Drosophila melanogaster: one gene and its partner. The protein of the gene in region 1 purifies or fractionates together with the protein of each later gene. This does not show direct contact. Each region holds a gene or a part of one and is shown in the gene's direction. Other genes may lie near its edges. The genes, in order: Irk1 and hzg.

Region 1 (3,929 bases):
AAGTACTAATAAAAACTCACTTCTAAATTAATTTATACAATTTAATTTAATGCTCAGTGTGCACTAGTAATGCTTAACTTTAGCACATGTCACAGAGTCACAAATGGTATACCTAGATCTTGGTGGAGTCGAGACTTAAGATGGAATACCTAATTGGCACACTTGAAACTGGTTCCTCCCACACACAGGCACATGAAATACTGATTTTCCGGCTGTAAGTGTCCCTTCCCTTTCTTCGCAATTATATAACAAGATTTATATCTTAGGCAATTGAGCATTTATTCACCGCAATGTGCCAGTTATTAGACAGGGCAGTTTCAGTGGCATTCCAAAAAAAATATATATATATACATATAATCTTGTGTGTGGGATTCAATTTCATATACGCATATGCATGAACAAATTTTGGGGTAAATATATCAAGCCATTGACGTCAGAGGTCAATTATGCATTAGGATGCGTTTATGTGTTTACTAGAAAATGGATTTCGGGGTTTAGTAACTAAATATTAATAAAGCCGCTTTCAAGGAATTTTGGCATCTATATTTGTGAAGAGTTAAAATCCGAAAATGCACAGAAACAAAATAATAATAAGTTGTGTTGCTTGTAATGGGTAATTATATTATCCATAGTGTTGCGTTTAATTTGTTTTCATTGCACTTTGCCGTAACAAAAAGTCATTATTCTGTTTAAATTCTCATTTGCTTTTCGAAACTTTCGTTGTGTTTAACGCAAAGCGTTAATGATCTCTGAGCCACGTGCTGTGTTAGCCGAAATTGATCGTAAATCAAATACTATAGGACTAACAAGTATCATTCTATTGGATGAAATTAGGCACAGCCAACTTATTACATTACACTCACCCCAAGCCGAAATTGCAAACGTGATTCTCCGGACACCTATTCTATTACCCATTTATCGTAATGGCCGCTTTACATCTGCAGCGAGCACTTTGAATAGATAGCCAAAGTGAATACACAATGATTCACTGGCTATTTCCATTCCTATTCATACCCATTGTGGGCATGTGACACCGTGCACTTTGCACTGATTGTGTTTGCATTCGCTCAACTTGGAGCACAATTGCACAGGTGTAACAGTGTTCAGATACATTTACATCTACAGATGCTCACTTGAGGTGAACACAAAAAAAAAACATGGGAAAACTCAAGCGTTTTTACAAGAAAATTTAATATGTAATAGTTGGGTAGATAATGTTGTAGTAGCATATGAAAATCATATATTTTATTTGTATAAAAATGAAAATGATTCACTAAACTACTATCTAGTCCTGCTTAAAATAGCGAATGAGAGGTTAAACCAGAGAAAAAAGGGTGCTGGCAAAAGTGATGGATTTATGATGCAAATTGTGGGCGACACCATCAGCTGACATTGTTTTATCACTGGGCCATATATCACGAAGAACTTCGCCAGGGGGTGTTACTATGGTCGAAACCATTGTTGTCAATTTAAGATACTGTTACTGCTGCCATTTGATTGATTGGCAGCAGGCAGGGGCTCACGAAAAGGGATGGAACTGATTTGGAGCTAGTTTACTTTCATTTTTAGCAGTATTCATTGGCAATATTCAAAAATATTCAAAAATATCCTTAATCTATAAACCCCTTTTAAGAAATCCAGTCTACGCCCCAGTTGCAGATGGGAATCTCCTTTTGCGCACTTCCAGCAAAGCAGACATCCTCAATTCCCCCAAACTAGCTTTAAAGGATTCCCCAACAGGTGGCGCCACCCCACTCCACTCCACTCCCCCCTTCCGCTTTCTCTATGAAACTTCTGCCGGCGTAATCACATGGCGCCAACATCTGTTCGCCAGCAGCGCAGCAACAGCGCCGCCGGCGACCTTATGACAGATTTGGCAATGCTGTAAAGCAAAGCAAAAGCACGCCGGCAGCGCCAAAAGCAAAAGCAACAAGCAGGCAAACGCCGACGCAGCAGCGACGCCTCGTTAGGCCAACACGATAAAACACAAAATAAAAAAAAAAACAACAGAATTGTGTGTGCTAGATGACGCTACCGGTTGCTTGTGCTTGTTGTAGTTGTTCCTGCTGCTGCTGCTGCTGCGACTGTTACTGCTGCTGCGGCGGCGGCTGCTGCTGCTGCGGCGTCTGTTGTTGCTGCTCGCTTTTGGATAATAAAACGGGCAACGCGCACTCGAGCGCCAAGTCAATTTGCGAACGCCGCTCGTTCACAACGGTGGCGCAAAAAACAAAAGCAAAGCAATAATAATTTAAATAAAAACAAACGGTAATAGCTCTTCTTCAGTTACCAACACTGCCCCCCAAGCCACCGACCATCCCGCTCGCACTTTTGTTCCCACGTTCTGCGCGTGCGTGCGCGAGCAGGGCAGAGCAAACGAGACGAGTCCGAAATCAGAAATACGAAATCCAAAACCAAAACCAAAACCAAAATAAGTCGCCAGTCTCCAACGCGTCTCGTCCACGGCAGGTCCACTTTGAAAATCGCGCGTTTCGCGGTTGGCAGTTCGAAATTTCCAAAAGTTTCGAACGAAAGTCGCGGGCGTATTGTGGTTACTCAAGAATTCGCGTGAAATTCGAAACAATCAAATAACTGTGTGGATTTAGTTTTGGAAAATTAATTAGAAAAGATATCCAATTTTCTGGGGGAAACTCTCGAGTGAAAACGGTTTGTGTGTTGTCATTGTTATTATTTTATGTGTTTCCCGTTTATGGTTGCTCGCACCAGAGAACCCCAAAATAAAATGTTGACTTCATATAATTTGCATAAAAAAAAAAACTGAAAAAAAACGCTTAGCGCTGAAATATGAAATTATGGAAATATTCCAACAAAAACATACAACAAATTATCGCTCATACATTTTATGAGCATAAGCTCCGGTCGCCATCTCATTTGGCTAAAAATTTATAAACAATACGAGACAGTATATTTTGAAATTGTTTATTAAATTCAAGAAATTGCAAGTCAAAATTGTTCTAAGCATTTTTGAACGCAGTGGAGAAAACAGCGGGATAAACAGTGCAAACAAAATATTAAATAAAAATTTAGAGAAACATTTAGGCATAAATAACTTGAAGTGAACTCAATGTTTCAGAATTTGTGCTTAGAATTAACAAATATTTATGCTGATTACTTATGAATGTGTCATGAGTTCAAGCCGATTAAACAATACATAACTATAAAATTCTCTTTAAAGCTTATCAAAAAGCATAAATATATATGAAATGTGCGAACAATTATATGTGGTTTGATAACTATTGTAGTTAGCAGTTGTAATAATGCATAGAAATAGTGTTTGCGTTTAAACATTTTTAAAAAATTTCTGTTTGGATAGTAAAATATGTGAATATTTTTATGTTATTTTAAACTCATAAACGAATTATGGCCGTCTGCAAAAAATTTTAACACCCAAAATATTCCATTAAAAACTAGATTGATTTAGAAGAATTTTATAGGGCCGTGCAACACAAAATCGCCAGTTGGTTCCATTCGAGACGAGCACCTCAAGACGAGACGATAATAATGATAACGATAATGAATAAAAACCGCAGTTTGTACAATTCACGAATTTTCTAACCACAAAATGAAACGAACTTTAGGACTTTGTTAAGTGTGTTAAAGACTTTAAAGCGGCAAGCGAGATGAAAACGTTGAAAAGTGTGAACTTTATTGTATGAGGTGTGACAATATGCAGGATAGAATCCAGATGTTTAAACCCAATATATATGTGCATTTAAACTGAAGTCTAACTCGCATTCGTGTTCCATTTCGGTTGCAGAGAACAACGTGGCCGCCAGCAAAGAACCATCCATGATTGGCCCGCACTCTTCCAGATTGCAAAAGAAACGCGCCCTCAACAGCTATTCAAATTTTCCCTTATAACGAATAATTCTCCCCAAATTGGCGACTAATCGAGATATATACCAAAGATA
Region 2 (3,929 bases), on another chromosome or scaffold:
AGTGACTGATCCTCAAATTTATCTTATAGACTATGTGTCCTGTCTGCTTTGACCGCATAAAGAACATGGTCTTCCTATGTGGCCACGGCACGTGCCAGATGTGTGGCGACCAGATTGAGGGGTGTCCCATTTGCCGCAAGACCGTGGAAAAACGCATCCTGCTCTTCTGAAGCCCGTTCCCGGTTCACACATTCCGCGCACAGTCTGCACAGCCTTCGAAGTATTAGGATATTTAAAGGACTCACATTCTTATACACACATATATACACACACAATATCATATATATAACTATATATCGGATTGGTCTTATAAAGCAAAAATATATTTTTAACAAATATTCAAACAAAAACATTAAGCAGAAATACTTTTGCTTGGCTCCTTGCTAATCAGATCCCTCAGAATGTCCTTCTTGGCCTGGAAATAGTCACGGAACCAGAAAATGTGATCCTTCTTCTCCTGGGCAGTCAAGTAGGGATTCTTGGACAAGCCGACGCAGACGAGCTCCATGAAATGGCGAATAGGCCCCTTGCTAGGACACCAATCCTCGAGATGTTGTTCCAGAAAAATGTGTTCCGAGAAGTCCACGTTATGCTCGTCCTCCCAATCCTGCTCATTGTTGATGGGAAAGCGCCACACCTTCTTTTGATCCGTCCACAGGACCATTTGCTCGAAGTAGTTTGCCGGGGGATGGGAAGCTTGTAAACTAAGCTCCCGCTCACTCAGCTGTGACCAGGTTGAAAGGATGTCGTTGGAAATCGGCAGCTGGGTATCCTTGAAGATACCCAACGGTTCCCCGCCGTACAAATTGACACTGCCCGTAAAGGATTCAGCCTCTCGTTTGGTTTGCCTCTGTGACCGCTGATAAGCCCCATCTCGATTCTGTGGCTTGAATCTGGAAGCCAGCGAGCGGCGAACGTACTCGCCGCGGGTCTGCTCCACCTGCTGCGGCTGCTGACGACGATCGATCTTCATGCCCACGATAATATCACTGTTGTGTAAGGAAAATAAATTTTATTAGATTATCCATTAATGCGAGAAAATCATTTTTACACACCTCAGATTGAGTTCCTTATCACCAGAAGGAGATCCCGAAACATCCGCCGTCTGATTTTCTCCGGTCGCTGCTGAAGAGGACTCGCTTCCATGGCCAAGGAGTTTGGCCAATAGCTCAGACTCTGTCTGCTTCTTGTCGCTCTCACTGGTGCCCAGCATGCTAGCAATGTTCTTGGCCGCAGTTAGAACATTCTTGGCGGCTGCCTCCTGTTTCTGGGCCTCCCTCCGCTTCCTGTTGGCATCACCAGGACGTGGAAAGTCCGATGCCGAGAGCTGATCCGTGGCCTGCATGGTGCCCAACAGGCGGTTCAGCCGCTGGGCCGCCGTTTCCACAGGTTCCTCCTTCTTCTTCGTGGGCTTTTCGTCGTCCGAAGAGGAGTATCCATCGTCGTTTTTGGACTGCGAAGAGGAGTAGTTGACCAATCCCACGTTTTTGAAGGCAGACGGTAGCAGGGAACTGAAAAATAAATAGTCGAGTGACGGATTTCTTTTGGTTATTTCAAATTAGACGGGTGGCCTACCGTAGGCCCAATCTCTGGGAACTTCGTACGGCCAACATTTTATAATATTTCTTTGATAATTTTAACTAGAAATAAGACCAAAGAAATCGCTCGCGTAACAACAATTCGGCGGAGAGTTGCCAGACCAGATGAACTGTTTGCACTGCCGTTTAAGCTAGTTTATAGTTAAATTTGGCTTTATTTTATGTTTGGCTTCCCTTGTCCTATTTCTTATAGTGTTTTGATTGAAAATATCCTTAACTAACCTAATCATTTCATGGACATTTGTTTTTTATCTGATTTGATATAATTTGAAATAAAATGTTCTTAAAATTGCATTTTGAATCAAGAATTTTATAGATTAACTTGACCACAGTTGGCAGCCCAAATTGCACCAGATAGTATGACCTTTGATTATCGAATTTGGAAATCTATGAAAATAATTATGTAGTTCAAAACAAGCTCCTTTTATAGAATTCTACATTCTCCTTGTAAGTAATTAACTTATAATCAAGCCTTTCTTCAACCTGTGATTCTAAGGTAAACACGAAATGTTACCACTTTTTCTTTGCACTTGGTAATAAGTCTCGCATCCACCGCGGTCACACTAATCACACGTTTTGTTTTTTGCGCTATTCCTGTTACTTTTTTTCGACGTACACACGCGTTTTGTTATTTTGCGCGATTAATTAATGGCAAAAAATAAAAAAAATAAATAAATAACGAGACGAAATAACGAAAACACCAGCGGCCGAGCTAGTGTGCGTGCGAGAGTGTGTGTGAGTGCTGTGTCTGTGTGGGCGTTTATAAATAAAACGCTGCGAAGCTGTGTGCGAAAAGCAGACGCGGATAAAGAAGTAAAAGAATGAGCGCAACCAAAAACAAGAGCGAAGGAAAGAAAGAAAGTGTTTTTTATTGAAATTCGTTGAAAAGTTTTAAATTTACTAAAACAGAGAGGCGAAAGTGCAACAGAGCGAAAGAGAGAGCGATAAATAGCGAGGTGAATATCAAAGGGAAACCCATTTGCATCGAGAAATAAAACGAAGCGAACGGACGGCCAAAGCGTAATTGTAAAATTCCACTGTCTGGGGCAGGCTATCAATTGGTGCATGTGTGTGTGTGTGAGCTATATATACGTGGTAGATGTATTATATATGTACGACATATATACTGCACGACACTTACCATATATACGAAGAAAACATGGAATCATCTCGCGATAATTGCCATATCCAATGTATCTCTATCTCTCATGTGTGCGCAACATTTTGCAGCTATCCTATACGAAACCGATCTGAATCAGTATCTGAATCCGAATCCGATTTATCAACCTGTTAAGCGAAGTGGAGCCACAAACCGAGTGCTTAAATGGATGCAACATCAATAATAACGCAAGTTTCCCGCGACGACGAGCAACTGAACGTCTATCCCAGCTATCCCAATGACAAAGGTGAGAACAAATAATGGGGGCCAAACTGGGGAAATCGCTGAAAACGCAGTCCGCATACACATACATATATTTAAAGCTCCCTTCATGACTCATCGCCACTCGAAGGCGTCACAACAAAGACGAAAGGACACTTGTCCGCTGCCAAGAAGTTTCCCCCACTTACCAACCACCACCCACCATAACCTCCCAAAGAAGAGGGCCCAACACCCCGCTGACCTTTCTAACACACCCAATTGCGGTCAATATAATTGTGGGAATAAGTTAGTTGTACATATGTCGTACTTTCCGAAAGTAGCAGCAAGTTAAATGGCATTGGCCTTTTTAATTTGTACAGGAACCACTCCAAAAACAAACTGATGAAAGACAAAAGTGCTTTTAATTCGAAAAATATATTCAAACAACATGCAATTAACTTGTAGCTGGAAAAAGTTGTTCAATTCTGTCTAAGCTAAATATTTAAATTAACGTTAGCTATTATCTGTTTGCACGACTGTGACCAGTTTGCTGTACTTTCTGTAATTTGAAACCAATTAAATGGCAATTTCTTTTCTTTAATTGGGAATCTAATTTCCATTTTAAATGTCTGTACTTTTTCTACTTTCAAGGTAGACTAGGAGTTTGAATTTATAGACACATTATTGTGTAAAAATCAGACTTATGTTTTCTTAATAGATTGTTCGACTTTGATAACTGTACTATGCTAGCAAAAATTACCTTTAAATATTCAAAGGTATCAATTTATTAATCAAAAATGTCCCCAGTCATGCATTTACATTTAAATAAATGGGCTTGCACAGGTTTTCACTGCGATGAATAACAATACTTAATAATAGTGTTATTTTCACGCCAGTTGTGCCTGTCTGTTGTGTTTGTTTCGCCCCTTTTTTATTCAGCACACAGTGTTTTCTTGTTCGTTGGCCATTGT

What was found.
Region 2: the proteins of Irk1 (region 1) and hzg purify together in Drosophila melanogaster (affinity purification with western blotting; one study listed by BioGRID). This does not show direct contact.

The regions. Positions count from the first base shown.
Region 1 is NT_033777.3:23,166,121-23,170,049, forward strand, and holds the start of Irk1 (inwardly rectifying potassium channel 1), read left to right. Parts: upstream 1-2,196; 5' UTR 2,197-2,265; intron 2,266-2,317; exon of another isoform or gene 2,318-2,664; intron 2,665-3,775; 5' UTR 3,776-3,929.
Region 2 is NT_037436.4:16,002,974-16,006,902, reverse strand, and holds the start of hzg (herzog), read left to right. Parts: upstream 1-2,166; 5' UTR 2,167-2,554; intron 2,555-2,828; 5' UTR 2,829-2,922; coding exon 2,923-3,004; intron 3,005-3,929. Other genes in the region: mib1 (mind bomb 1), read left to right, coding at 30-170; mRpS31 (mitochondrial ribosomal protein S31), read right to left, coding at 353-989, 1,056-1,511, 1,576-1,613.